Macaca fascicularis: one gene and its partners. The protein of the gene in region 1 interacts with the protein of each later gene in a biochemical or structural test. Links are inferred from orthologs where the notes say so. Each region holds a gene or a part of one and is shown in the gene's direction. Other genes may lie near its edges. The genes, in order: CREBBP, NUP98, VDR, histone H2B type 1-B, KLF1, IRF5 and NFE2L2.

What was found.
Region 2: the proteins of CREBBP (region 1) and NUP98 form a complex in vitro, tested with the Homo sapiens proteins (2 studies listed by BioGRID). The link is inferred for Macaca fascicularis from reciprocal best matches to the Homo sapiens genes CREBBP and NUP98.
Region 3: the proteins of CREBBP (region 1) and VDR form a complex in vitro, tested with the Homo sapiens proteins (2 studies listed by BioGRID). The link is inferred for Macaca fascicularis from reciprocal best matches to the Homo sapiens genes CREBBP and VDR.
Region 4: of the proteins of CREBBP (region 1) and histone H2B type 1-B, one has a biochemical effect on the other in vitro, tested with the Homo sapiens proteins (2 studies listed by BioGRID). The link is inferred for Macaca fascicularis from reciprocal best matches to the Homo sapiens genes CREBBP and H2BC3.
Region 5: the proteins of CREBBP (region 1) and KLF1 form a complex in vitro, tested with the Homo sapiens proteins (2 studies listed by BioGRID and IntAct, with this or other methods). The link is inferred for Macaca fascicularis from reciprocal best matches to the Homo sapiens genes CREBBP and KLF1.
Region 6: the proteins of CREBBP (region 1) and IRF5 form a complex in vitro, tested with the Homo sapiens proteins (2 studies listed by BioGRID and IntAct, with this or other methods). The link is inferred for Macaca fascicularis from reciprocal best matches to the Homo sapiens genes CREBBP and IRF5.
Region 7: the proteins of CREBBP (region 1) and NFE2L2 form a complex in vitro, tested with the Homo sapiens proteins (2 studies listed by BioGRID, with this or other methods). The link is inferred for Macaca fascicularis from reciprocal best matches to the Homo sapiens genes CREBBP and NFE2L2.

What each region holds. Positions count from the first base shown.
Region 1 is NC_088394.1:4,558,463-4,561,962, reverse strand, and holds part of CREBBP (CREB-binding protein), read left to right. Parts: intron 1-1,104; coding exon 1,105-1,222; intron 1,223-1,717; coding exon 1,718-1,889; intron 1,890-2,242; coding exon 2,243-2,287; intron 2,288-3,500. UniProt on the Homo sapiens protein: Acetylates histones, giving a specific tag for transcriptional activation. Mediates acetylation of histone H3 at 'Lys-18' and 'Lys-27' (H3K18ac and H3K27ac, respectively).
Region 2 is NC_088388.1:70,596,318-70,599,232, forward strand, and holds the end of NUP98 (nuclear pore complex protein Nup98-Nup96), read left to right. Parts: intron 1-812; coding exon 813-924; intron 925-1,051; coding exon 1,052-1,269; 3' UTR 1,270-2,415; downstream 2,416-2,915. UniProt on the Homo sapiens protein: Plays a role in the nuclear pore complex (NPC) assembly and/or maintenance. NUP98 and NUP96 are involved in the bidirectional transport across the NPC. May anchor NUP153 and TPR to the NPC.
Region 3 is NC_088385.1:54,687,829-54,691,968, reverse strand, and holds the start of VDR (vitamin D3 receptor), read left to right. Parts: upstream 1-1,340; 5' UTR 1,341-1,436; intron 1,437-4,140.
Region 4 is NC_088378.1:146,884,678-146,888,906, forward strand, and holds the start of histone H2B type 1-B, read left to right. Parts: upstream 1-1,429; 5' UTR 1,430-1,482; coding exon 1,483-1,859; intron 1,860-4,229. UniProt on the Homo sapiens protein: Core component of nucleosome. Nucleosomes wrap and compact DNA into chromatin, limiting DNA accessibility to the cellular machineries which require DNA as a template.
Region 5 is NC_088393.1:13,279,567-13,283,600, reverse strand, and holds KLF1 (Krueppel-like factor 1), read left to right. Parts: upstream 1-1,234; 5' UTR 1,235-1,292; coding exon 1,293-1,379; intron 1,380-2,298; coding exon 2,299-3,124; intron 3,125-3,378; coding exon 3,379-3,554; 3' UTR 3,555-4,014; downstream 4,015-4,034. UniProt on the Homo sapiens protein: Transcription regulator of erythrocyte development that probably serves as a general switch factor during erythropoiesis. Is a dual regulator of fetal-to-adult globin switching.
Region 6 is NC_088377.1:170,402,134-170,405,633, forward strand, and holds part of IRF5 (interferon regulatory factor 5), read left to right. Parts: intron 1-167; exon of another isoform or gene 168-308; intron 309-1,446; exon of another isoform or gene 1,447-1,598; 5' UTR 1,599-1,609; coding exon 1,610-1,804; intron 1,805-3,500. UniProt on the Homo sapiens protein: Transcription factor that plays a critical role in innate immunity by activating expression of type I interferon (IFN) IFNA and INFB and inflammatory cytokines downstream of endolysosomal toll-like receptors TLR7, TLR8 and TLR9.
Region 7 is NC_088386.1:72,769,216-72,771,698, reverse strand, and holds part of NFE2L2 (nuclear factor erythroid 2-related factor 2), read left to right. Parts: intron 1-510; coding exon 511-777; intron 778-1,425; coding exon 1,426-1,515; intron 1,516-2,187; coding exon 2,188-2,379; intron 2,380-2,483.

The sequences.
Region 1 (3,500 bases):
AGTCTTGCCATGTTGTCCAGGCTGGTCTCAAACTCCTGGCCTCAAGTAATCCTCTTGCCTCGGCCTCCCAAAGTGCTGGGTGGCATGAGCCACCACACGAAGCCTAACTTTGTTGAGCTAGTTATTTTAAATGAACTAGACTTATATTCCCTGAGTTTTTTCCATTCCTTATTTTGATCAAATTTTTTTAGTAGTAAGTAGTTTAAAAATCAGGGATTTAAAAATCGTGTTATTCTGGAAATGACCCAGCACATACTTGTTAATAGCAAAATATTGATGTGTTTGATGTGTAGATAAGTTGGTAAGTCAGGATTGTCTCCAGGGAGTTACTTCATTCATATATTGATATGCTGGGCAAGAGAGGCTTGGCATTTCTCTCCACAGTGTATTGCCACCAGAGATACATGATCCTGATTTTGTAGTGCTCATTTGACAGCATTGGGAGTAGCTTCAGGCCAGGTGCAGCAGCCCCCACCTGTAATCCCAGTGCTTTGGGAGGCTGAGGCGGGAGGATTGCTTGAGCCCAGGAGTTCAGGCCAGCTGGGGCAACATAACAAAACTCCATCTGTACAGAAAATTTAAAAATTAACCAGGCATGGTAGTGTGCACCTGTACCTCCCTCCTTAATTGAGAGGCTGAGGTGGGAAGATCACTTGAGCCCAGGAGTTCAAGGTTGCAGTGAGCTATGATCATGCCACTGTACTCCAGGTTGGGTGACAGAGCGAGACCCCGTGTCTTTTTTTTTTTTTTTTTTTTTGAGACGGAGTCTCGCTCTATCTATTGCCCAGGCTGGAGTGCAATGGCACTCAGCTCACTGCAACATCTGCCTCCCGGGTTCAAGCAATTCTCTTGCCTCAGCCTCCCGAATAGCTGAGATTACAGGCACCCACCACGAGGCCCAGCTAATTTTTGTATTTTTAGTAGAGACAAGATTTCACCATGTTAGCCAGGCTGATCTCAAACTCCTGACCTCAGGTGATTCTCCTGCCTCAGCCTCCCAAAGGGCTGGGATTACAAGCATGAGCCAGCGTGCCTGGCCAAAACCCCATGTCTTTAAAAAAAGAAGAAAGGAAAAAAAAGTAGTTTGATGTGTTATCCTTTCAGCGTCCAAGCCATCTTCCCAACACCTGATCCCGCAGCTCTAAAGGATCGCCGCATGGAAAACCTGGTAGCCTATGCTAAGAAAGTGGAAGGGGACATGTACGAGTCTGCCAACAGCAGGGTAGGTTGCTGCTTATCGTGCTCTGGCCTCTACAGCATCTGTAGTAGACAGCACTGCATTTGTCTGCTTTGTTATCTAGAAATTGTGGAATCTGTGTAGTTGGGAGAAACTCCTCACCTTGAGGCCACTGGCCAAAGAGACTTCCCAGATAAGACACAAATTTCCTGCAGAACTCTCTTGGTTAGTTACATTGGTACATGGAATATATAAATTTACATTATGTCCATGGGATATATTTTTCACAGTAGGTGGTGGGTGTAATATTGCTAGCATCAGTGAATATTCAAAAGTTCATTGGTATGAAGTGGGCCGTGTATTTAGTACCTATTATTTGATATGTCCTATAAAGCTCCTGGTGCATCAAGTATTTATTTGCATACTTACTTTTGCCAGTGTACTCAATGAAGAAGTTCATTAGTTGGAACCTACAACACAGATCATTCAGTTGCTTTTTACAGTTTTAACTGTTTCATATTGAATATTGTTGCTTTTTAGGATGAATATTATCACTTATTAGCAGAGAAAATCTACAAGATACAAAAAGAACTAGAAGAAAAACGGAGGTCGCGTTTACATAAACAAGGCATCTTGGGGAACCAGCCAGCCTTACCAGCCCCGGGGACTCAGCCCCCTGTGATTCCACAGGCACAACCTGTGAGACCTCCAAGTAAGCATTTTATTTCCTTCTGCCATCCCTTAGCCTGTTTCCTTGGTTTTCCTTCGTGTTTGGGGTGTATTTCTAAGAACAGAGAATTAGAATCTCTGATGCGTGCACTGCGGAAACTGTTGATGTGGCAGTGGCCCTGACCACCTGCCTCAGGCTGTGTTGGGACACTGAGTTTCTCTCTTGGGAAGGCCCTTTACAGGGTCCGCTGGCATTGGAACACACGTGCCTTTGGACCTATTGGCTGTTTTCCCTTTTAAGTTTGAAGTCCTAATAAGACATTTCCTATTCCTGAATCAAGGATTATATTAAATAACTAGGGTGGTTTTGTTTTTGTTTTTGTTTTGCCGCCATAGATGGACCTCTGTCCCTGCCAGTGAATCGCATGCAAGTTTCTCAAGGTATTGAACTATTTGCTGTGAATCATATTTTAGTTTAACATTCAACAGCCATAACTTTCACTGTTTTTTTCCTCTCCCCCTGTGTATTTCTTTCTAGTCCTTTCTTCTTTCCATTCCTTTTTGCTGATGAGCAGAATTGTTCTACAGGTAGTATGGATCTGTTTATAGTATGAAATTTGGAGATTATAGGAAAGATCTTTCAAGAAATAAGAAGCAGTTTTTAGCTATTTATTTTATTTTATTTTTATTTTTATTTTTTTGAGGTGGAGTCTCGCTCTGTGGCCCAGGCTGGAGTGCAGTGACGTGATCTTGGATCACTGCAAGCCCTGCCTCCTGGGTTCACACCATTCTCCTGCCTTAGCCTCCCCAGCAGCTGGGACTACAGGCACCGGCCACCATGCCCGGCTAATTTTTTGTATTTTTAATAGAGATGGGGTTTCACTGTGTTAGACAGGATGGTCTTGATCTCCTGACCTTGTGATCCACCTGCCTCAGCCTCCCAAAGTGCTGGGATTACAGGCATGAGAGCCCCTGCACCCAGCCTTAGCTTTTTTTAAATTTTATTTTATTTTATTTTATTTTACTTATTTGTTTTGAGACAGAGTCTCACTCTGTTGCCCAGGCTGGAGTGCAGTGGTGCAATCTCGGCTCACTGCAAGCTCTGCCTCCTGGGTTCACGCTATTTTCCTGCCTCAGCCTCCCAAGTAGCTACAACTATAGGTGCCCACTACCACGTCCGGCTAATTTTTTGTATTTTTAGTAGAGACGGGGTTTCACTGTGTTAGCCAGGATGGTCTCGATCTCCTGACCTTGTGATCTGCCTGCCTCAGCCTCCCAAAGTGCTGGGATTGCAGTTGTGAGCCACTGCGCCCAGCCCAGCTTTTTATTTTTTTAATGGATGGTGAAGGGGCATGGTACATTAGTCTTAGGAAGAGTCTGAGAAAGAAGCACTCTAGATGTGGGGAGGGAGTGCTTCTCAGTGCTGAGAAGGAGAGGCATGCAAGACACTCCTAGACTGCTGAGCACTTGCACAGGCTGACATGGGGACGGCACGGGCTGCTCCTGGCCCTAGGGGTTAAGCCCAGCTGGCTGGATGTCAACTTCTGGAGAGTGTGTACACACAGGTCCTGTGCCAGGTTGGGGTGGCAGCAGCTGTCTCAACAACCTTGAAAGTTTCTTAAGTAGAGAGCCTATGGTTTTTGGTTGATTGAAG
Region 2 (2,915 bases), on another chromosome or scaffold:
CTTATTTAGTTTCTGTCAGTTTCATGAGAGCAAATAATTTGTCTTGCTCTTGATCCTCCTGCTGCCTGCACCCAGCTTTTTTGGTGTTTTAGAAAAGGCTAGGCCAGGCGCGGTGGCTCAAGCCTGTAATCCCAGCACTTTGGGAGGCCGAGACGGGCGGATCACGAGGTCAGGAGATCGAGACCATCCTGGCTAACACAGTGAAACCCCGTCTCTACTAAAAATACAAAAACTTAGCCGGGCGAGGTGGCAGGCGCCTGTAGTCCCAGCTACTTGGGAGGCTGAGGCAGGAGAATGGCGTGAACCCGGGAGGCAGAGCTTGCAGTGAGCTGAGATCCCGCCACTGCACTCCAGCCTGGGTGACAGAGCGAGACTCCGTCTCAAAAAAAAAAAAAAAAAAAGAAAAGGCTATAAACTTGGAGTCAGGGGACCTAAATTAAATGTTGGTTCAGGCTGCATTTTTTACTTCCTGTGTGCTCTTAAGAAGTCATACCATCTCTCTGAACCCAGTTTATCTTGATTTTTGGTGCTGTATTATTAAAGCTTGCTGTATTATTAAAGCTTGCTGTATCGTTCGGGATCTCAAGACTTTCCTAGTCCAAGGCTGTGTACACTATGTTACCTTCCTCTTTATTACTGCATAATTAGTGCCTTGTCCTCCACTAGATGGTGGTGGCTTGACCCTGTGTCATCTTCTTGGATTTTCCCCTCCCTCACCTCACTGTTGTTTCAAGGTTTTGTATAGAGTCTATAGGTGGTGTTGAGTGATAGGAACTCCCCTTGGATTAATTGACTTCTCTGCTTCTTTGTAGGTGGATTGCTCAGGTTATGACCTGGAGCAGTTACACATCAAAGTGACTTCACTGTGCAGTCGCATAGAGCAGATTCAGTGTTACAATGCTAAAGATCGCCTAGCTCAGTCAGGTAAGCCTCTAATCTCCTCACTTTTTCTGCCTTCTTGCTTCCTGTTTTTATCTTACACCCCACCCTCAGTGCCTGCCACCGTTCTCTAGACCCATGCTCAGTGCTTAACTCTAGTTTTTCTCTCTAGACATGGCCAAACGTGTAGCCAACCTGCTGCGGGTGGTGCTGAGTCTGCATCATGCTCCTGATAGAACCTCCGACTCAACACCAGACCCTCAGCGAGTCCCTTTGCGCCTCTTGGCTCCCCACATTGGCCGGCTCCCCATGCCTGAGGACTATGCCATGGACGAACTGCGCAGCCTTACCCAGTCCTATCTGCGAGAACTCGCTGTTGGGAGCCTGTGAGCCCCAGACTCTTTGCATCACACTCACATGCCCGTTCACACTCACCACACAGAGGTTCCCTGCCTTGTTTGGATTGGCACTGTTTGCCATTCTCTGGGTTGGCTATGGCATCTGCCCTCCTTCCCTGCTGCCACAAGCAGCATCCTCCAGTTGTTCAGGGCTTTTCTTAATACTAAACATAGCATAAGGGCTTCTGGAACCCAGAAGAGGAGACAATTCTCTTTTTACCATCCTCAAGACCAGTGTTTTTCCTTTTAATAAATGGTCAATAAAGCTCCTTTGGCAGAATCCCCCAAAGAACCAGGGAATCCTTTTTCACCCCTAGCCATTCTGGATCTTGTGACCCTCCATGCCAACCAGCTACCCTACTCCTACCCTGGCCCTTTTATGCTAGGACTCCTTAGGAGGAGTGAGACAGGTAGTAATGGATCCTTAACAGGTGAACTATCCACAGAAGGAAGAGGGATCCGTCTCTTAAGTAATTGGTTAGTTAACACTGAATTTTGGAGGCAGAGGAGGGTTGGCCTGAGTTAGGAAACAGAATGGGATCTTTCTGACACACTTAGGGCAGAAGTGAATGCCTGCCATGGAGGGATTGATCTTCAGAGCTTCTTTTGTTCCTGCCTTTAGTGTTCCATGAACACCATACCTTTGCTACTACTATGTGCAGGAGCCCTTGGTCATATGTGACATGTCTATGGGAAGCTCCCAGAATTTGGTTTGGTCCCTGGTTTTCAGTCATCTTGCTGAGAGTCTGTCTGGATTTGCCTGAAGAGTTTGGATTAAAAATGGCAGGTTGGGTAACCCTCCCTGTTCATCCCATGTTAGCTCTAAAGCATTTTCCACCCTCCATCATCCCTTCCAGAAGCAAACCATGACTGAGGCAGGCATGGAGTTGGGCGTTAGGGGCAGGCAGAGGGCCTTTGCTACACTGCTGACAGCTATAGGGAGCCCCAGGTAATGGCATGAGATAGCTGGTGTTAGGGCTGTCTCAGGCAATATGGCCACACCTGGGTCTTTATGCATGAAGATTATGTAAAGGTTTTTATTAAAAAATATATATATGTATAAATAAATGATCTAGATATTTTCCTCTTTTTCTGAAGTTACTTTCTTAAAAAATAAATAAATAAAATGTTTATAGCATTCCTGGTATTGGCTTTCCCTTTGTATTTTTGAGCCTTCTTGCCCTGAGGATCTTTATGATGGCCTTGTTTGATTTAGCCTGTTTTTGAATTTGCCTTCTAAATGGAGACAGGCCTTGGGTTAAAGAGAGAACTATTTGGTGCTAAACTGAGAGATAGATTAGCCCAAAGGCTAGATTTATAAGGGGAGATTTAGGGGCAAGGGAGTTGATTATTGATTAATACTGATTGCTGTACATATATTTATACATATAGATTTCCAGGTCTCAAATTGCCCAATAGAATATACCATTCAAAGCCTCCTCGCTCTTCTACTGTAGTGGTTTTGTTTTTAAACCTTGAGTGACGCTTCACCTTTCTAAGTCGGATTCCCTTTTGTAAAGGGGATAATGATCCCTGATGTTACTTCACACAGGGCTGTTTTCAAGAGGAATCAATTGAGTAGCATGAGTACTATTCCAGATCTTATTTTGATTTGTCAAGCTGAAGATATGAGCAAAT
Region 3 (4,140 bases), on another chromosome or scaffold:
AATAAACCTTGGTCATTTTCTCCGCCAGCATCAATGGGTTTATGTCACTTTTAACAGCTGAAGAGTACTCCATTAAACAGATGTATCATCATCTGTTTACCTGGGTGGACTCATCACTACGTGCCTATCTCCCCCAGAAGCTGCGAGAATAGGGTGCCAGAGGGGTGGGAGGACAAGGAGACTAGTCAATGTCAGCCATACCTTGGGAAGCAGCCCAGTCTCAGCTGCCCTTTGACATCTTACAAATGGATTCCAGAACTCTGCTCCCTTACCACATCTACAACCCCACCCACCCCCAAGTCCCTACCTCCAGTCCTCTGTCTGCTGTCCCCCTGCCCTTCTCCCTCTGACCATTGACCTCTGTACAGTGCTACGGGTTTGGGGGTCTCCTGGGTGGGCTCCCTGCTTCCCAGCTCTTGGCCTCTGAGGCTGGCTGATCTCCCAGAAATGGGAGGAACTGGGGCTTGAGGGACCCTGAATTCAGGAGACTCTGTGGAGACAGCCTGGCCTGGCCAAGACAGCCACCCAGGCTGACCCAGGGGAGGCGCCATGCTAATGGAGAGGCTGGCACTGCCCATGCCCACATGGCAGTTTCCTGCTTTCCAGAGGGCATGGGGAATGGGGACTGTGCCAGATAGGCATGGTGTCCCCGCCCCTGCACCAATGTCATGGAAAATGTGAAGCCTTGATCTTTGTTCTTGATTGTTCCTCCAACTTTTACAACTGGAAACTGGCGGCGTCTTTGTTCCCACCGGCTTAGGAAGGAGATGTTGAGGGCTGGGGACGGGAGGCAGCTGAGTCAGCAGCTGGAGGTGTTGAACTGGTTGCTTCCTCAGACCAACCATGACCCCTTCTCTCTCACTTACACGCACTCAGTTTACCCATCAACGGACCGTACCTTAACAGCGCCAGTGGGAGAGGGGATGGGAACAGCCTTCACCGTCCTTCCTGGGGAAGCCATCTCCCCTTGCCCAGGATGGACGGCCAGGCTGTCCACAGCCCTGACCCCCACCCCCTGCTCCAGATACCTCTGGCTCCTCTAATGCCCGTGGTGGCAAGCAGTTCCCAACCTGCCTCCTTCCTCAGGGCAGGTCCGGTGTGTCTGTTTACCTCAAGATTCAGTTAGAAATTGATGGTAGGGAAACCACTTTGCCAGGTGGCTCCCTCCGGCTGTGTGGGGCCCAGCCTCCTGGTCCTCCCCTGTTCCCTCATGGGCAGAGTTCATGGAAACTTCTCAGGTCACTGACTCTCACCTTCCTTTCCTCCTCAGGAGGGCAGGCCCAGCCCCACTCCCTGCAGCCTGGCCCCTCCTTTCCCTGAAGGCCCTGCTGTCCTGGCGCAGTGTGGAGAAGGGCAGGCCTGGGGACTGGACAGCAGCAGGGCCAGGGTGGTCTGCTGCAGGGGGAGACGCACCTCTGCTTCCTGCGACCTTGGCGGTGAGCCTGGGGACAGGGGTGAGGCCAGAGAGGGACGCAGGGGCCCTGCCCAAAGCAAGGGAGGACAGCGGGACTGAGGCAGAAAGAGGGCAGTGTGTTCACCTGCAGCCCAACCTGTCACTCAGGGACTCCTAGATGCTGGTAGAAAGCTCCTCCGAGGAGCCTGCTATCCAGTCATGAGTGCAGGTGTGGGGGGTTTGCAGGTGTGTGTGTGGGTGCACAGGTGTGTGGGGGTGCGCAGGTGTGAGGGGTGCGCAGGTGTGTGTGTGGGTGCACAGGTGTGAGGGGGTGCGCAGGTGTGTGGGGGTGTGCAGATGTGAGGGGTGTGCAGGTGTGTGTGGGTGTGCAGGTGTGAGGGGTGTGCAGGTGTGTGGAGGTGCACAGGTGTGAGGGGGTGCACAGGTGTGTGGGGTGCGCAGGTGTGAGGGGGTGCGCAGGTGTGTGGGGTGCACAGGTGTGAGGGGGTGAGCAGGTGTGAGGGGGTGCGCAGGTGTGTGTGGGTGCGCAGGTGTGAGGGGGTGTGCAGGTGTGAGGGGATGCGCAGGTGTGAGGGGTGCGCAGGTGTGAGGGGATGCGCAGGTGTGAGGGGATGCGCAGGTGTGTGGGTGCACAGGTGTGAGGGGGTGAGCAGGTGTGAGGGTGTGTGCAGGTGTGTGTGGGTGCGCAGGTGTGAGGGGGTGCGCAGGTGTGTGGGGGTGCGCAGGTGTGAGAGTGTGTGCAGGTGTGTGGGGGTGCGCAGGTGTGAGGGTGTGTGCAGGTGTGTGTGGGTGCGCAGGTGTGAGGGTGTGCAGGTGTGTGGGGGTGCGCAGGTGTGAGAGTGTGTGCAGGTGTGTGTGGGTGCGCAGGTGTGAGGGGTGCGCAGGTGTGGGGGGTGCGCAGGTGTGAGGGGGTGCGCAGGTGTGTGAAGTGTGCAGGTGTGAGGGAGTGCGCAGGTGTGGGGGTGCACAGGTGTTTGGGGTGCAAAGGTGTGAGGGGTGTGCAGGTGTGAGGGAGTGTGCAGGTGTGAGGGGGTGCGCAGGTGTGTGAGGCGCACAGGTGTGTGTGGGTACACAGGTGTGAGGGATGCACAGGTGTGTGGGTGCGCAGGTGTGTGGGGCGCGCAGGTGTGTGGGGGTGCACGGGTGCGTGGGGTGCACAGGTGTGTAGCCCGCGCTTTGGGGCCGCAGGTGAGGGAGGTTTGAGAGAGGATGGCAGTAAAGGCTGCCCCCTGCGGGTGGGAGGGGTGTGGGAGGGGAGATGGGATCCGGCGCTGGCGCGGTCAGAGAAGGGTGGGCGGTGGTTGGAGGGAGGCAGGGCACTGGCCTTGCTGGATCCCACGCGCAGGCCTTCTCTGCTGGCGGAGGCTGCGAGGCCAGCCTCTGTCTGTCTGTCCGTCTGTCTGTTCGTCCGTCTGTTCGTCCGGGTGGTGCGCCAGGCTGCAGTCGGAGCAGGCAGTGGCGGTGGGTAGAGGAAATGGGACTTGACGGCCTGGGGCTGAGCGCCTGATCTTTTCTTGGTGATGCTCTGCCTCCCAGGAACCATCGCTTTTGGCTGTGGTCAGGCAGGACTGGGAAGAGCCCTGTGGCCCCTGCAGGTCAGGCCGCTGCACCCCCTACATCCGATCCACCTCGCTGCCCAAGCGGTACAGCTTATTTGTGTTCCTTCAGATTTTGCCAGTGCCTTTGCACCCCTCTCCGAGAGTTACTCAGTTACCAGTGTTGGTTTTCTATTTCCAGAGCAAAGGCAGGTCCTCCCCTCCACGGCTTTCTCCACCCTAGCGGGGGCTGGGCCTCTGCCTTCCATCCAAGCCTGGGTCCAGGTCCCAGGGCCATGGCTCCCTCGCCTTTGTGGAGGGAGGAAGGCGGGCGGTGGGGGGGGAGAGGGGGCACCTGAGGGGGAGGGTGCCTCAGCTGTCCTTCATATCTTCTCCTGACCTCCAACCCCACCCTGCTTTCTCCTGGACCGTTCCCATCAGCATGCTCTACCTCTCATCTCTAAAAGTATCCCTCTCCAGGATCCATCTTTGCCAGTCCATCACGCTGACGCTTCCACAGCCGTCCTCCTCACAAGAGCAGGGCCACTTGCTGCCTCTACTTCCTCCCTCAGCCCCAGCCACTGCTCCACTGCAGCTCTTCACATGAAACTCGGCCTGAGGAGCGCTTCTGTGCCTCCCTCGTCCTCTCCCAGCAGCCTGGACTCAACTGACTCCCCTCCCGAGGCCTTCTCTTTTCCCTTCTGCTCCCCCCATGTGGCGCTGTCCTTCTGGTTCCTTCTTGACTTGTCTGTGATTCCTTCTCAGGCCTCTTGGCAGGTTTCTCTTCGAAGTGACTGGAAAGCCAGTGCTGCATGGACTTGGTACTGCCATCCCCTCTGCCGTATTTCTGTGGTTTAGACACCATCTGTATGGTGGCAAACCCCATTCTTCCTCTGCGTTCTGACTCCCAGAAGCAGTTCCCCTGGACACTTCTGTTGGGGGCCTCGCAGACATTTCAACGTAATGCATCCAGATGACAACCCTTGATTCCCCTCTGTCACCCCCAATCTAACCTGCCTCACCTTCATCTTTCTAGTTGCTGAAGACTGTGGTCCTTGGTACTGCCTTACCTTTCACATCCAATATACCGTCCAGTCCACCAGATCCCACACAAAATGCACTTGCTTTTCCACCATTCATCTCAATGGCCACCATAGCCCTGGTTTTTCTAAGCCACCATCCTCTCTTACC
Region 4 (4,229 bases), on another chromosome or scaffold:
GAACAAGGTACATAACAAAGCATCTACGGATTTTTTTAATGTAAATTCCGATTCAGTAAGTTTGCGTGGGACTTGAAATTCTGCATTCCTGACAGTCTTGAAAGTTATCAGTGCTGGTGAACACTCACTAAACCACCAGAAACGTTGACTGCCTCATGTCGGAAACTACTTACATTCAGAGAATGAGAATTCCATGCTATTTTGTTACTGGTCAACAGCCAGTTTCCTTATCCTTCGTTTTCTAAGTCCAAGTCACATTCCCACCCTGACTGTTCTCAAACTGTCTTATTTTGGTTGGCTTTAGTTTCACTTTGTATACTCTAAAATGTAGTTTCTTAAAGAAGATATTTCCTCGAAACTTAATTTTTAAACACCATTAGGCTAGGGGGGCCGTGGCTCACGCCTGTAATCCCAGCATTTTGGGAGGGCAAGATGGGAGGATCACTTGAGGCCAGGAGTTCAAGACAACCCTAGCTAAAATGGTGAAAACCCCGTCTCGAATAAAAATACAAAAATTGGCTAGGCGTGGTAGCAGACGCCTGTAATCCCAGGTACAAAGGAGGCTGAGGCATGAGAACCTGGTGAAGCCGCGGGGTGGAGGTTGCAGTGAGCCGATATCGCGCGGCGGCATTCCAGCTTGGGTGACAGAGCGAAACTCTGTCTCAAACCAATCCAAACCAAAACCAAAAGGTACCCGAAACACAAGCAAGTTACCATCCTTTCTTGTGAAACAATGGACGGTTCTGAAAAATGCCGTAGCAAGTTTAAGGTACGTTTTCTGGCTTGAGTGGGCTTTACTTGCTTTTGGCCTTATCGTGGTTCTCGGTTATTTTTGCAACAGGACGGCCTGAATATTGGCCAGGACGCCTCCCTGAGTAATAGTGACTTTGCCCAGCAGCTTGTTGAGCTGCTCGTCGTTGCGGAAGGCCAGCTGCAAGTGGCGGGGGATGCTATGGGTCTTGTCACGTATGGCGCTGCGTGTCAGCTCCAGGATATCGGCGGCCAGGTATTCTAAGTACAGCGGCGCGCCGGCTTCGACAGGCTCAGAATAATTGCCCTTTCGAAAAAGACGATGGACCCTGCGCTACTAGAAACTGCAAGGCTGGTACCGATGAACAACTTTGTGCTTTACTTCCGTTTTCCATGTCCAAACACAGCGACCTCTGAAAACTGTAAAAAACAAGCAAGATGGAATGGCGCCTGAAGAAATACTTTTATACAAACTGCAAGGCTGCAATAGAGAGTTATCCTATTGGTCAATTATGTTTCCTGCTTTATCCAATAGAAAAAGAGTCCATAAATTCCATATTTGCATAAACCCCACCCCTCAGTGAAACTGTATTTCTTTTATCCAATCAGAAGTGAGGAATCTTAAACCGTCATTTGAATCTCAGGACTATAAATACGTGGGCTCTGAACTGTTCTCTCTACTACTCTGCTGGAGAGTGTTAGTAGCTTTTTTGTTTTGTTTTAGGAATAGCGATGCCTGAACCCTCTAAGTCTGCTCCTGCCCCTAAAAAGGGCTCTAAGAAGGCCATCACTAAGGCGCAGAAGAAGGATGGTAAGAAGCGTAAGCGCAGCCGAAAGGAGAGCTATTCCATCTATGTGTACAAGGTTCTGAAGCAGGTCCACCCCGACACCGGCATCTCCTCCAAGGCCATGGGGATCATGAACTCCTTTGTCAATGACATCTTCGAGCGCATCGCGGGCGAAGCTTCCCGCCTGGCGCACTACAACAAGCGCTCGACCATCACCTCCAGGGAGATCCAGACGGCTGTGCGCCTGCTGCTGCCCGGGGAACTGGCTAAGCATGCTGTGTCCGAGGGCACCAAGGCTGTTACCAAGTACACTAGCTCCAAGTAAGTGCTTATGTAAGCACCTCCAAACCCAAAGGCTCTTTTCAGAGCCACCTACTTTGTCGCAAAGAGAGCTATAACCACAATTTCTTAAGGTGGTGCTGCCTCTGTTCTGCTTCAGTTCTAGAGGATCAACTAGAATGTTAGCGAAGGCAACTTTTAGAGCCAAGGTTAACTTGGGGCAGCGCGCCGTGGCTGTCGCCTTTAATCCCAGCATTTTGGGAGGCCGAGGCGGGCGGATCACTTGACGTCAGGAGTTCGAGACTAGCCCGGCCAACATGGTCTCTATTAAAAATACAAACGTTAGGAGGGTGCTGGCGCTCTTTCTCATCTGCCTTTAGCAAACTTCTTTGTTCCCCCTGGGTAAGCCTTCGGGTACTAGTTGTAATTCATTTGATATGGTCACTACTCCCTCCCTGGTCTAGCACAGGAAACTTTCCTTTCTGGATAATGAAACAAGTAATGCAATTCAGGGTACAGTGTTTCTATGGGGGTCATTAGCCGTTAACCGCTTGAGATGAGGGGGAGGGGAGCAGAAAAGTCTAAGCGACAAAAGGGCGTGTAGGGATATTTGCTCCTGCAGTTTGCCTATGCTGTAAATTCTTACCTCCAGTAAGAAGGAAAGATTTCCTCCAGTATTGAGGAAACAGTAAGCGAAGTCTGATTTCCCGGGCGCCTTTGTAGGGAATATTTCCCGTTCCACAAAATGAAATCGCAGTAGTTTTGCGTTATAATTGTTTATCAATGACAACAGCTATGTAGTTTACATATTTCATGCATCCCAGAAATCCAGATTCCCATTTCCTAGGCCACTTAAAATTCGGATTTCCAGCTCTGCGAGATACAAAAGGGTTTGAATTTTGTGCCTTTCCCCAACTGGCCCTACTGCAAAGATACTAGGAAGGCCCCACTTGGAGAGGGAAGCATTTTTCAAGAAATCCGGGACGCCAAAAACAATATAGCTAGAAAAAGGCAGGAAGGGTACTAGTTGAGGAGGACTTAATGGGCCAATTCTTGGTCTGGGGCTGGGGGAAGAAATGGAAGAAGAAAAGAACCTGTTGATTGCACACTAAGTAGGAGGGGATGGGGGAATCGGAGGGGAGTATTTTAAGTGAACTTACGGGCATTATATGTAGGTGACATTCAGCAGTGTCTTCGGATGAAGAAATAAAGTTTCTCAAACAGTTATTGTTTCTGTTTTGAGAAATGGTCTTGCTCTGTTGGCCAGGTGCCATCATAGCTCACTGCAGCCTCGACTTCTCCAGCTCAAGCTATCCTCTAACTTCAGCCCCTTGAGTACCTGGGACTACAGAAATGCGCCACCACACCCAGTTAATTTTTTAATTTTTTGTGGAGGCAAAGGGTCTTACTATCTTGCCCAGGCTGGTCAAGTGAACTCCTGGGCTCAAGTGATCCTCCCGCCTTGGCCTCCCAAAGTGCTGAGATCGTAGGAATGAGTCACCGCGCCCGGCCCAGATTTAATTTTTAAGAATATTTTAAAAGAGGTTCTGGGCCGGGTGTGGTGCAGCTCACGCCTGTAATACCAGCACTTTGGGAGGCCAAGGTGGGAGGATCACTTGAGCCTAGGAGCTCAAGACCAGTCTGGGCAACTTAGTGAGTCTGTCTCCACCAAAAATTTAAAAATTAACCAGGCCTGGTGGCACATTTCTGTAGTCCCAACTACTGGGGAGGTTGAAGTGGGAGGATCATTTGAGCCTGGAAGGTGGAGGTTGCAGTAAGCTGTGATGACACCACTGCACTCCAGCCTGGGTGAGGACAGACCCTGTCTCAAAAATAAAAAAAAAATCTGGATGCCACACAAAATGTCAGTGAACAACTGTAAGTGAAGCACTTCCCATCCTAGTACTGTATATGCAAACTACCGTTGTGAAAGAGACGCTTGTGTTTTAAAAAATCTATAATTTTTTTTAAAATTATAAAACGACCACCTCCCCCAAAACATTACTAAGCAATTGAGGCTGCAGTTTAAGAAACTGATATTTAGGATCTTTCCCCGGAGAAGTGAGACCTGCTAATATAAGCATTTGCAAAATGAACTTTTGGGCCAGGTGCATCATGCCTGTAATCTCAGCACTTTGGGAGACTTAGTCAGGCAGACCACTTGAGCTCACAATTCGAGACCAGCCTGGGCAACATGGCGAAATCCAGTCTCTACAAAAAATTAGCTGGGCGTTGTGGCATATGCCTATAGTTCCAGTTACTAGAGAGGCTGAGGTGGGAGGATTACTTGAGCCTGGGAGGTAGAGGTTGCAGCAAGCCAAGATCGCGCCGTGACAACCTGAGTGACAGAATGAGACACACCCCCCCAAAAAAACAGCCTGACTCATTAAAAAAAAAATTTAAAAATATTAA
Region 5 (4,034 bases), on another chromosome or scaffold:
GCCACCCAACTTTTCTCTTTTTTTTTTTTTCAGTGACAGAGTCTTGCTCTCTGTCCCCCAGGCTGGACTGCAGTGGTGTGGTCATATTGCAGTGTTGTGATTATAGCTCAATGCAGCCCCGACCTCCTGGACTCAGGCGATCCTCCCATCTCAGCCTCCTAAGTATCTGGGACTATGGGCATGCACCACCACTCACAGCTTTTTTTTGGAAATATAGGTTCTATGTTGCCCAGGCTAGTCTTGAAATCCTGGCATCAAGTGATCCTCCTGCCTCAGTCTTCCAATGAGTGACTATGAATTATGTGTCTGTAATATGTATCCATGTCCCCTTCCCAGGCTCCCAGGGCACCAGAGTGGAGGTCCCTGTTGTAGTAACTCAGATCCTCTCCTCATTTTGGGCAGAATCAAGGAGCAGCCAGGCCCAGAGCCAGGGTACTGGTCTCCTGCAGGTCAGATACTGCCTATGGCTTGGTCCAACGGTCCTATCCCACCCAGGATGAGACAGGGTCACTTTTCCCATGGCTGCCCCCATCGCACTAAAGCAGCTGGCACTGAACCAGCCTCCATGCAGTCCCATGCAGTGCCACCCGAGAGTCCCCAGTAGACAATGGTGGGCCAGTTGGCAGGGGTGTCCTCCTGCTATAGGGCTCAGACCCTGGGAGGTCCCAACCCAGGCAAATTGAAAGCCAGGCTAATTTGAAGACCCAACCCCCAGCCCTCCCCTTCACCGGAGGACAGAGCTCTAGCTGGCCTGGGCCCCCACCTGATAGCAGCCTCCAACGTCTGGGGTGTCTGATAATGCTTGGCGGGGAGTTTGTGCCAAGTCCCGCCATCGGCACGGTTTTTGCTGTTTACTGGGGAGGGGGAGGGCTGTAGAGCCTCAATCAGGGGGACAGGGGGTCCCACAGCTTCTTCCCAGAATACCCTTTCTGCCTTTTCCAGGAAAGTAAACTGAGGGCAGACCCCCAAGTCTCTCCTTCTTTGGAGACCCAATGTCTCCTTTTACCCAGCACCTGGACCCTCAAACCCTGAACCCCTCAACCCCTGATATTTGACTTGGCTTTGGACACAGGGTTAGTCTTTAAGTCCCAACCCCAGACAGGCCAATGTGAAGTTTGTGCCTCAGAAACAGTGACCCCCCCGCCTTGCCTTGCCTTGCCTCCCCTTATCAGAGGCTGCAGCCAATCAGCTAAGGGCAGAGAGGAGCCCTCGAAGGGGCTATCACAGCCTCAGAGTTCACCAGGCAGCCAAGGAAGAGGAGGCTCGAGGCCCAGGGTGGGCACCAGCCAGCCATGGCCACAGCCAAGACCGCCTTGCCCTCCATCAGCACACTGACCGCCCTGGGCCCCTTCCCGGACACACAGGATGACTTCCTCAAGGTGGGGCCTAGAAGGTGGGGTCTAGGTGGGCTGGCTGGGATCCAGGGCCACAGTCACAGATCTTGGGGTCCAGACCTGCATCTTGCCCTGCAATCAAGGGACTTAACCAGAACTGAGGTACACTCAGTCCAGGTGAGGGGATCTCAGCTTAGTCTGGCAGAGGGTGAGGAGGGTGGTCTGGGGGCTTGAGGTTCTAGGTGTGATCTATTTCTGTAATAGAAAACGAAGGTAGCCTGGACAACATGGTGAAACCCCATCTCTACAAAAAATACCAAAAACTAGTCAGGCGTGGGGGCATGTGCCTGTAGTCCCAGGTACTCTGTAGGCTGATGCAGGAGGATTATTAAAGCCCAAGAGATTAAGGATACAGTGAGCTGCACCACTGCACTCCAGCCTGGGCAAAAGAGTGAGACCCTATCTCAAGAAACAAACAAACAAAAAGGAACGAGATCTAGGCTCACAACCTTCCAGATATCAGAGGGAAATGATGAGTGTGTCTGGGGGACATCCAAAATTTCGGAATTATTCTTGTTTTAGGAGACAGGGAAGGAGAGAGATGTTCCAGGGGGAAACTAAGTCAAGGCTGGCACCCTCTCCCCTAACCCCCGCCAGTTTTCCATCTCCAGCAGTTCTGCTACCCCTTCCCCCATCCCCAAGTGTGGTTCCAGATAGTGGAAGTCTTATCTCCTGTCTCCAGCCAGACCTGATCGGCTTCTGTCCCTGGAGCTGGGGGAGAGGGGGGAGAGGGGCGGCTAGAGGGCGGCTAGTGTTGGGGAAGTGGGACAGAGAGACAGGCAAACAGGACCCTTTTCCAAAGCCTCTGGCCAGCCTCTCCCCGTAAGAGTACCCAGCCTGCGATGTCCCTGGGCAGGGCACCTCAGTGTCCACCGAACCTCAAGCTGCCTGCTCCCTCCCGCAGTGGTGGCGCTCCGAAGAGGCGCAGGACATGGGCCCGGGTCCTCCTGACCCCACGGAGCCACCCCTCCATGTGAAGTCTGAGGACCAACCCGGGGAGGAGGAGGACGATGAGAGGGGCGCGGACGCCACCTGGGACCTGGATCTCTTCCTCACCAACTTCTCGGGCCCGGAGCCGGGTGGCGCGCCCCAGACCTGCGCTCTGGCGCCCAGCGAGGCCCCCGGGGTGCAATACCCGCCGCCCCCCGAGACTCTGGGAGCCTATGCGGGCGGCCCGGGGATGGTGGCTGGGCTCTTGGGTTCGGAGGATCACTCAGGTTGGGTGCGTCCTGCCCTGCGAGCCCCGGCTCCCGACGCCTTCGTGGGCCCAGCCCTGGCTCCAGCCCCGGCCCCCGAGCCCAAGGCGCTGGCGCTGCAACCGGTATACCCCAGGCCCGGCGCCGGCTCTTCGGGCGGCTACTTCCAGCGGACCGGGCTTTCAGTGCCTGCGGCGTCGGGCGCCCCCTATGGGCTGCTGTCCGGGTACCCCGCGGTGTACCCGGCGCCTCAGTACCAAGGGCACTTCCAGCTCTTCCGCGGGCTCCAGGGACCCGCGCCCGGCCCCGCCACGTCCCCCTCCTTCCTGAGTTGCCTGGGACCCGGGACGGTGGGCACTGGACTCGGGGGGACTGCAGGGGATCCCGGTGTGATAGCCGAGGCCGCGCCATCCAAGCGCGGCCGACGTTCGTGGGCGCGCAAGAGGCAGGCAGCGCACACGTGCGCGCACCCGGGTTGCGGCAAGAGCTACACCAAGAGCTCCCACCTGAAGGCGCATCTGCGCACGCACACAGGTGAGGGGGTGGGACCCGGACATGAGAAAGCGGGTGGCACCTGCTGTAGTTACCGGGGAAGAAGGGTTGCAGAGGGCGGGACTTGGACTTGGCTGGCTCTGAGAGTGAGTGCCTCCTTAAATTTTGTGCCCTAGGGGCCTCACTTTGTTCATCCTAGTCCCAGCCCAGACTGAGTAAAGGGGTGTGGCCAGATGCAGGGGACCCGGGGACATGACTGGGCTGACAATAGCGCTTATGACTTCCTCGTCCCCTAGGGGAGAAGCCATACGCCTGCACGTGGGAAGGCTGCGGCTGGAGGTTCGCGCGCTCGGACGAGCTGACCCGCCACTACAGGAAACACACGGGGCAACGCCCCTTCCGCTGCCAGCTCTGCCCACGAGCTTTTTCGCGCTCAGACCACCTGGCTTTGCACATGAAGCGGCACCTTTGAGCCCTGCCCTGGCACTTGGACTGTCCTGGGGATTGGGGATGGGACAAGAAGCCTGTTTGGTGGTTTCTTTACACGGACAAGTGACACAATGCCGGGTGGTTTTCCCACGAATGGACCCTCTCCTGGACTCGCTGTCCCAAAGATTCACCCAGATATCAAAAACGGACCCATAGACAGCCCTGGGGGAGCCTCCCACGGAAATCCGACAAGTCTTCAGCCACAGGGAGCCACACAGAGATGTCCAAACTGTCATGCAGACCCAGTGAGACAGACCACCAAATAAACGGACTCAGTGGACACTCAGACCAGCTCCCAGATGGCCCTGGACAGCAGAAGAGGGTGTGGGGTGAGGCTTCCCAGAGACCCTGGGTCTAGAAAGGGGCTCCTGAAGGTCCCTTATTGTGGCTGATATTAACTGTCAATGGTTATGGGTCCTATAAAAATGCCCCTCCCAGATAAAGCTTCAGCGTTTGCCTGAAT
Region 6 (3,500 bases), on another chromosome or scaffold:
GACCCACTCGACTCCCTCCGTCAGCCCACAGTCAGTTTGGTTTCTGAGTTGTCCCAGTCCAGCCACTTTCGTTTCCCCTGGGGCTGGGTGGAGGCTGGGGCAGAAAGCGGAACTGAGCCCCCATGTTCTGAGGTCGGGGCAGGGCTGGAGCGTTCTGAACACCTCCCAGTCCCAGCCCCTGGGCCAGGCAAGGCCGGCCGGCCTTACGTCTCCTGGGTTGGTGGCAGCCGAGCTGGGCTCTGAGGGAGGCCTACAATGTGAGACGCTAGCAGTTCAGAGGCAGCACGAGGCAGGTGCAAACCCAAAAGGTACTGGGCAGGGAATTTCAGGGGAAACTGAGGTTCCGTGCTGCAAGGCCCAAGCAGGCCCAGAAAGACAGAGGGAGTTCAGCTCGAACCTTTGCTCCTTACTTGCTGAGCGACACGTTCACTTCTGATGGGCTGTGCTGTATAATGGCCCAGTCCTTTCTGTCTTCCACACAGGGGTCTCAAGTGAAGGGCCAAGGGCATGGGTAAGGGGAGGAGAGAGAGAGAGGAGGGGGCTCAGGACTGTGAAGAGTTTCCGGTTCTGGGCTGGAGAGGGAGTTTGGCGGGTGGAGGGGAGGAGGCAGGGTCCCTCTGGCCTGACTCCAGGGAGGCAGCGAAGCTGTGGCCTGAGAGGTGGGGATCGTGCCCCTGGGTAGGTAGTGGTTAGAGCTGTGGTTTCTGTTTCCTGCAGACTTCCTAACAGGCTCCGGCAGGCGTTAGGGCCTTCCTAAGGGCTACACCAATGCGTGTCCAGTGGGAGGAGAAGGGGGAGGACCAAGAATCTAGATGAATGGCCCTAGAGAAGTAACGTCTAAGTTTGGTGGCCGCTGTCGTTGGAGGTGGTTGAGTTGGTTGATGGGATTTATCTAAAGACGTTGAGGTTGGGGAACTTCCTCCCGGAGGGAAACTGAGGAAGAAAGGTAGCTCTGAGAGTTGGGTGAAGAAACCCACCCTCCATTCACATGTTCTGCTTTCCTCTGAGGGCAGGTGTCCTTGAGAGCTCGAGATGAGATTCTTGTTGAGGGCATCTCCGGAGGGGACTCTCAGGGGACAGGGGTGAGAAAACTTGGGCAGAGAAGAATTGAACCAGGGGTGTGGACTGAGCGGGAGGTTGCCTTCAGGCTGATCCCACGGAGCACTCGCTGCCCCAAGTAGCCCAGCTTGAGACAAGATAGCCAGGCTTTTGTCCCTTGTGTCAGGCAGTCTGGCTGTGGGCTGCCCCCCCAAGAGCGAGGGGTGGGCCTAACCTGTGGGGTGAGTAGTGGAAGGCAGTTCTCTGGCCAATGGGCTGCTCGCTACTGTCAGCAGTTGGAGAATAGATGCCTCCGCCCGGTAAAGGGCGTCTGGGGCTGTGCCCGCAGCATTCACTAACTCGTAACTCTCTTTCCCTTCACCCAAACACAAAATTCCATGACACTAGACAAGAAAGTTGATGCTTGGAAAAGACAATTGGCCTTAAATACCTAGATGGACTGGAGAGACCATCCCTTGTGGCCCACAGCTTGACCTCTGAGCACCCTGTCTCCGTCCACCTGCGGACCTGCTGAGGCTCCCCCTGGCTTTCTCCTGCAGACCCTTCTGCCATGAACCAGTCCATCCCAGGCGCTCCCACCCCGCCCCGCCGCGTGCGGCTGAAGCCCTGGCTGGTGGCCCAGGTGAACAGCTGCCAGTACCCAGGGCTTCAATGGGTCAACGGGGAAAAGAAATTATTCTACATCCCCTGGAGGCATGCCACGAGGCATGGTCCCAGCCAGGACGGAGATAACACCATCTTCAAGGTAAGCCCTGGCGAGGAGGTTGGCTGGACCTCCAGAGCACCCTGTCCCCAGAAGAGGATCGCATATAACACACACAGGCAGCTCCTCAAGACTGGCCACCCACCCAGCTAGCACGCTGCCACTGATGCCAGGCCCGGACTAAGGGGATGCAGACGTAGCCACAGGGCACACCTTTTTCCTTTTTTTTTTCTTTTTTTTTTTTGAGACAGAGTCTCGCTCTGTAGCCCAGGCTGGAGTGCAGTGGCACAATCTCAGCTCACTGCAACCTCTGCCTCCTGGGTTCAAGCGATTCTCCTGCCTCAGCCTCCTGAGTAGCTGGGATTACAGGCATGAGCTGCCGCGCCTGGCCTAGGGCACACCTTTTCTAACCTTCACCCTAGAGCAGTGTGGGAACTGAGGGTCCCCAGAAGGCCTTCCCATAATTTGTCCTACTCACCCTTTGCTCTTATCTCACTGCTATTACTCATGAGGACTTGTTCAGTGCACACATATGCTAAAGGAAGCCAACAATCACCCATCATCTTTCTTTTTTTGAGATGGAGTCTCGTTTTGTTGCCCAGGCTGAAGTGCAGTGGCACGATCTCAGCTCACTGCAAGCTCTGCCTCCCAGGTTCCTGCCATTCTCCTGCCTCAGCCTCCCAAGTAGTTGGGACTACAGGTGCCCGCCACCACACCCGGCTAATTTTTTTGTATTTTTAGTAGAGACGGGGTTTCACCATGTTATCCAGGATGGTCTCGATCTCCTGACCTCATAATCTGCCTGCCTCAGCCTCCCAAAATGTTGGGATGACAGGTGTGAGCCACTGTGCCCGGCCCACCCATCATCTTTCTAAAAATTTTATTTTTAAATTAATATACCCCCATAAATATATGGGGTACACAGTGATGATTTGATAAGTACAGTGATCAGATCAGGTACTTAGCATATCCATAATCTCAAACATTTGTCATTTCTTTGTGTTGGGAACAAACTATTTTTAATATAAGATTCAGATATATCATCAATCTTTTAATTTTTTGATTTTCTAATTTTTTTAGAGGCAGGGCCTAACTCTGTTGACCAGCTCCATTTTTTTTTTTTTTTTTGAGACAGGGTCTCACTCTGTCACCCAGGCTGGAGTGCAGTGGCGCAGTCTTGGCTCACTGCAGCCTCTACCTCCCAGGCTCAGGTGAGTCTCCCATCTCAGCCTCCTGAGTAGCTGGGATTACAGGTGCCTGCCACCACACCTGGCTAATTTTTTGTACTTTTAGTAGAGACTTTGCCATGTTGCCCAGGCTGGTCTCCAACTCCTGGACTCAAGCAGTCCGCCCACCTCAGCCTCCCAGAGTGCTGGAATTACAGGTGTGAGCCACTGTGCCTGGCCCAATCTTTTTTTTTTTAACTGACATATTACAACTGTACATATATACTCCCCCCCCTCCTTTTTTTTTTTTGAGATGAGGTGTTGCTCTGTTGCCTAGTGTTGCACCACTGGTGAGCAGTGGTGCAGTCATAGCTCACTGCAGCCTCCAACTCAGCTCAGGTGATCCTCCAGTCTCAGCTCCCCGAGTAGCTGTGACTACAGTTGCATGCCACCATGCCCAGCTAACTCTTTTTTTTTTTTTTTTTTTTTGAGATGGAGTCTTGCTCTGTCACCCTGGCTGCAGTGGCGCAATCTCAGCTCACTGCAACTTCTGCCACCTGGGTTCAAGCAAT
Region 7 (2,483 bases), on another chromosome or scaffold:
GAAAGAATGGTGACATTTCATAACTGCTAGATTGACACTTTAACTTGGGAGTTATCCCTCTATAAACTGGATATTTGCTGAGCAAAGTTTAAAGAAAGCTCCATGTATTCAGTAATGTTTTCCAACATTACTTACTTCTCGTAAGTCAGTGGCTTAGAGTGCTTGCTCTAATTTCTATATTGCGTTAAACAAGGGTGGGATTTCTTTTCATTCAAACCATTTGTGACTTTGCCCTTTAGTGACCTCTACCATCACCCTATCGTTAATGATCCAAGTGATTAGAGTGGATGGCTATGTGTTTGTAGGTTGTTTGTTGTCTTTAATGAATAGATTCATTGAATGGAATTAACTGTGCTCTTCTAGAACATTGGATCTGTGTTCTCATTTAGATTGTATTTGTAATCTCCCCACTCCCCACCATCAACAGTGGCATAATGTGAATTAATATATGTGGTATCTGCCATTTAAAAACCATGATCTCTCTCCTTCCTTTTTTTGTCTTAAACATAGGACATGGATTTGATTGATATACTTTGGAGGCAAGATATCGATCTTGGAGTAAGTCGAGAAGTATTTGACTTCAGTCAGCGACGGAAAGAGTATGAGCTGGAAAAACAGAAAAAACTTGAAAAGGAAAGACAAGAACAACTCCAAAAGGAGCAAGAGAAAGCCTTTTTCGCTCAGTTACAACTAGATGAAGAGACAGGTGAATTTCTCCCAATTCAGCCAGCCCAGCACATCCAGTCAGAAACCAGTGGATCTGCCAACTACTCCCAGGTAGAGTACTCCGTTCTTGGGAAAGTTATGGCAGGGTTTAAGGAAACACTGACCAAGGAATTAAAGTATCTGGATTTGAGTTCCAGCTTTGCCTTTCTTTTACTTAACCTTGTCAAATCTACCTTCCAACCTCAGCCTCCTGATGAGTCCAGTACCCAACCTACTAATCTTAACAGAGTTATTGTGAGGATTGGGAAGACATAAGTTACACAAAAGAGTTTTGTAAAGTATAGAAACATCCTGTAAGGATCAAGTAGCAGCAACAGAAGTAGTGGCAGGAGAACCAAGTAGTAGGAATTACTGGCGTTACTGTGTGTGGCAAGCACTGTTTTAAGAACTTAACATATACTGACTGATTTAATCAACACAAGTATATTAATTAGGTACCATTATCCCTATTTTATCTGCGATGAGCAACTGAAGCTGAAAAAAGGTTAAATAATTTGCCCAGATCACTCAAAAAATTGGAGGAGCTAAGATTTGAACCCACATGGTCTGGTTCAAATTGTGTACCAAAGTGATCTCTGCAATAAGATAAATATTTACCTAACTTGATTATATTTTATGAACATCAAGTATTGAATATTTTGCTTGGCAATGGAATATTTAACCATTTTTGTCTTCCTTTGTGTCATTCCCTTTTATCAGGTTGCCCACATTCCCAAATCAGATGCTTTGTACTTTGATGACTGCATGCAGCTTTTGGCGCAGACATTCCCGTTTGTAGATGACAATGAGGTGAGGTATAAAATAACCTGGTTAGGAGCAAAACTCCCTAACTATAAAATAACAATCGTATTCTACGTAAGTCCCGTCAATGAGTCTCCATTTAAAAGAATAAAAACAGTTTTAGGAGGAAATTTTTTAACCAAGGAAATACTCTGTCAAGGAAACCTTAGCCTATAGATAACTTTACAATTAAGAAAAAAATAATAAAAAACCTTCACACAATACAAAACCAAAACCATTTACTGTTGCATAGCCAGAAACATGGACAGCATAACCATGGAAACAAATAACTCATTTGCTGCAAGTATCTAAGAGGTCTTGGTGAGTAAAAAGCCAGCTGGGCAATAAACGAAGACTTCTTCAGTTAACAGTTTTAATAAATCGGTTTTATCTGGTACCACTGTGCTAGATATTATATAAACTAAATGCTAAAGATTGTGCTTACTCATTTTAAAGTTTACTTCCAAATGCATAGGCTGAAACAATTAGGCCAGCAAATAGTAAATCTGAGTCAGTGTGGTAGGAAAAAAAGATTTCATTATTTACAAAGGGTCATGACTGGTTAGTAAGTAGCGAGACACGGAACTGCAGCTGATTCCATTTTGTATTGTGGTGGTGCCTTAGAGCTTACTTATCCCCCGTTGGTGGAAGACTCATAAATCAATGCCTTATCAATTTTAGGTTTCTTCGGCTACGTTTCAGTCACTTGTTCCTGATATTCCCGGCCACATCGAGAGCCCAGTCTTCATTGCTACTAATCAGGCTCAGTCGCCTGAAACTTCTGTTGCTCAGGTAGCCCCTGTTGATTTAGACGGTATGCAACAGGACATTGAGCAAGTTTGGGAGGAGCTATTATCCATTCCTGAGTTACAGGTAACTAAAATAGAATGTAATACTGAAGATATTATTTTATATTCAGTGCCTTTAGTCATTCTGATTATTTATATGCCGCCTATTTATAGGAAGGATTGGAGGGT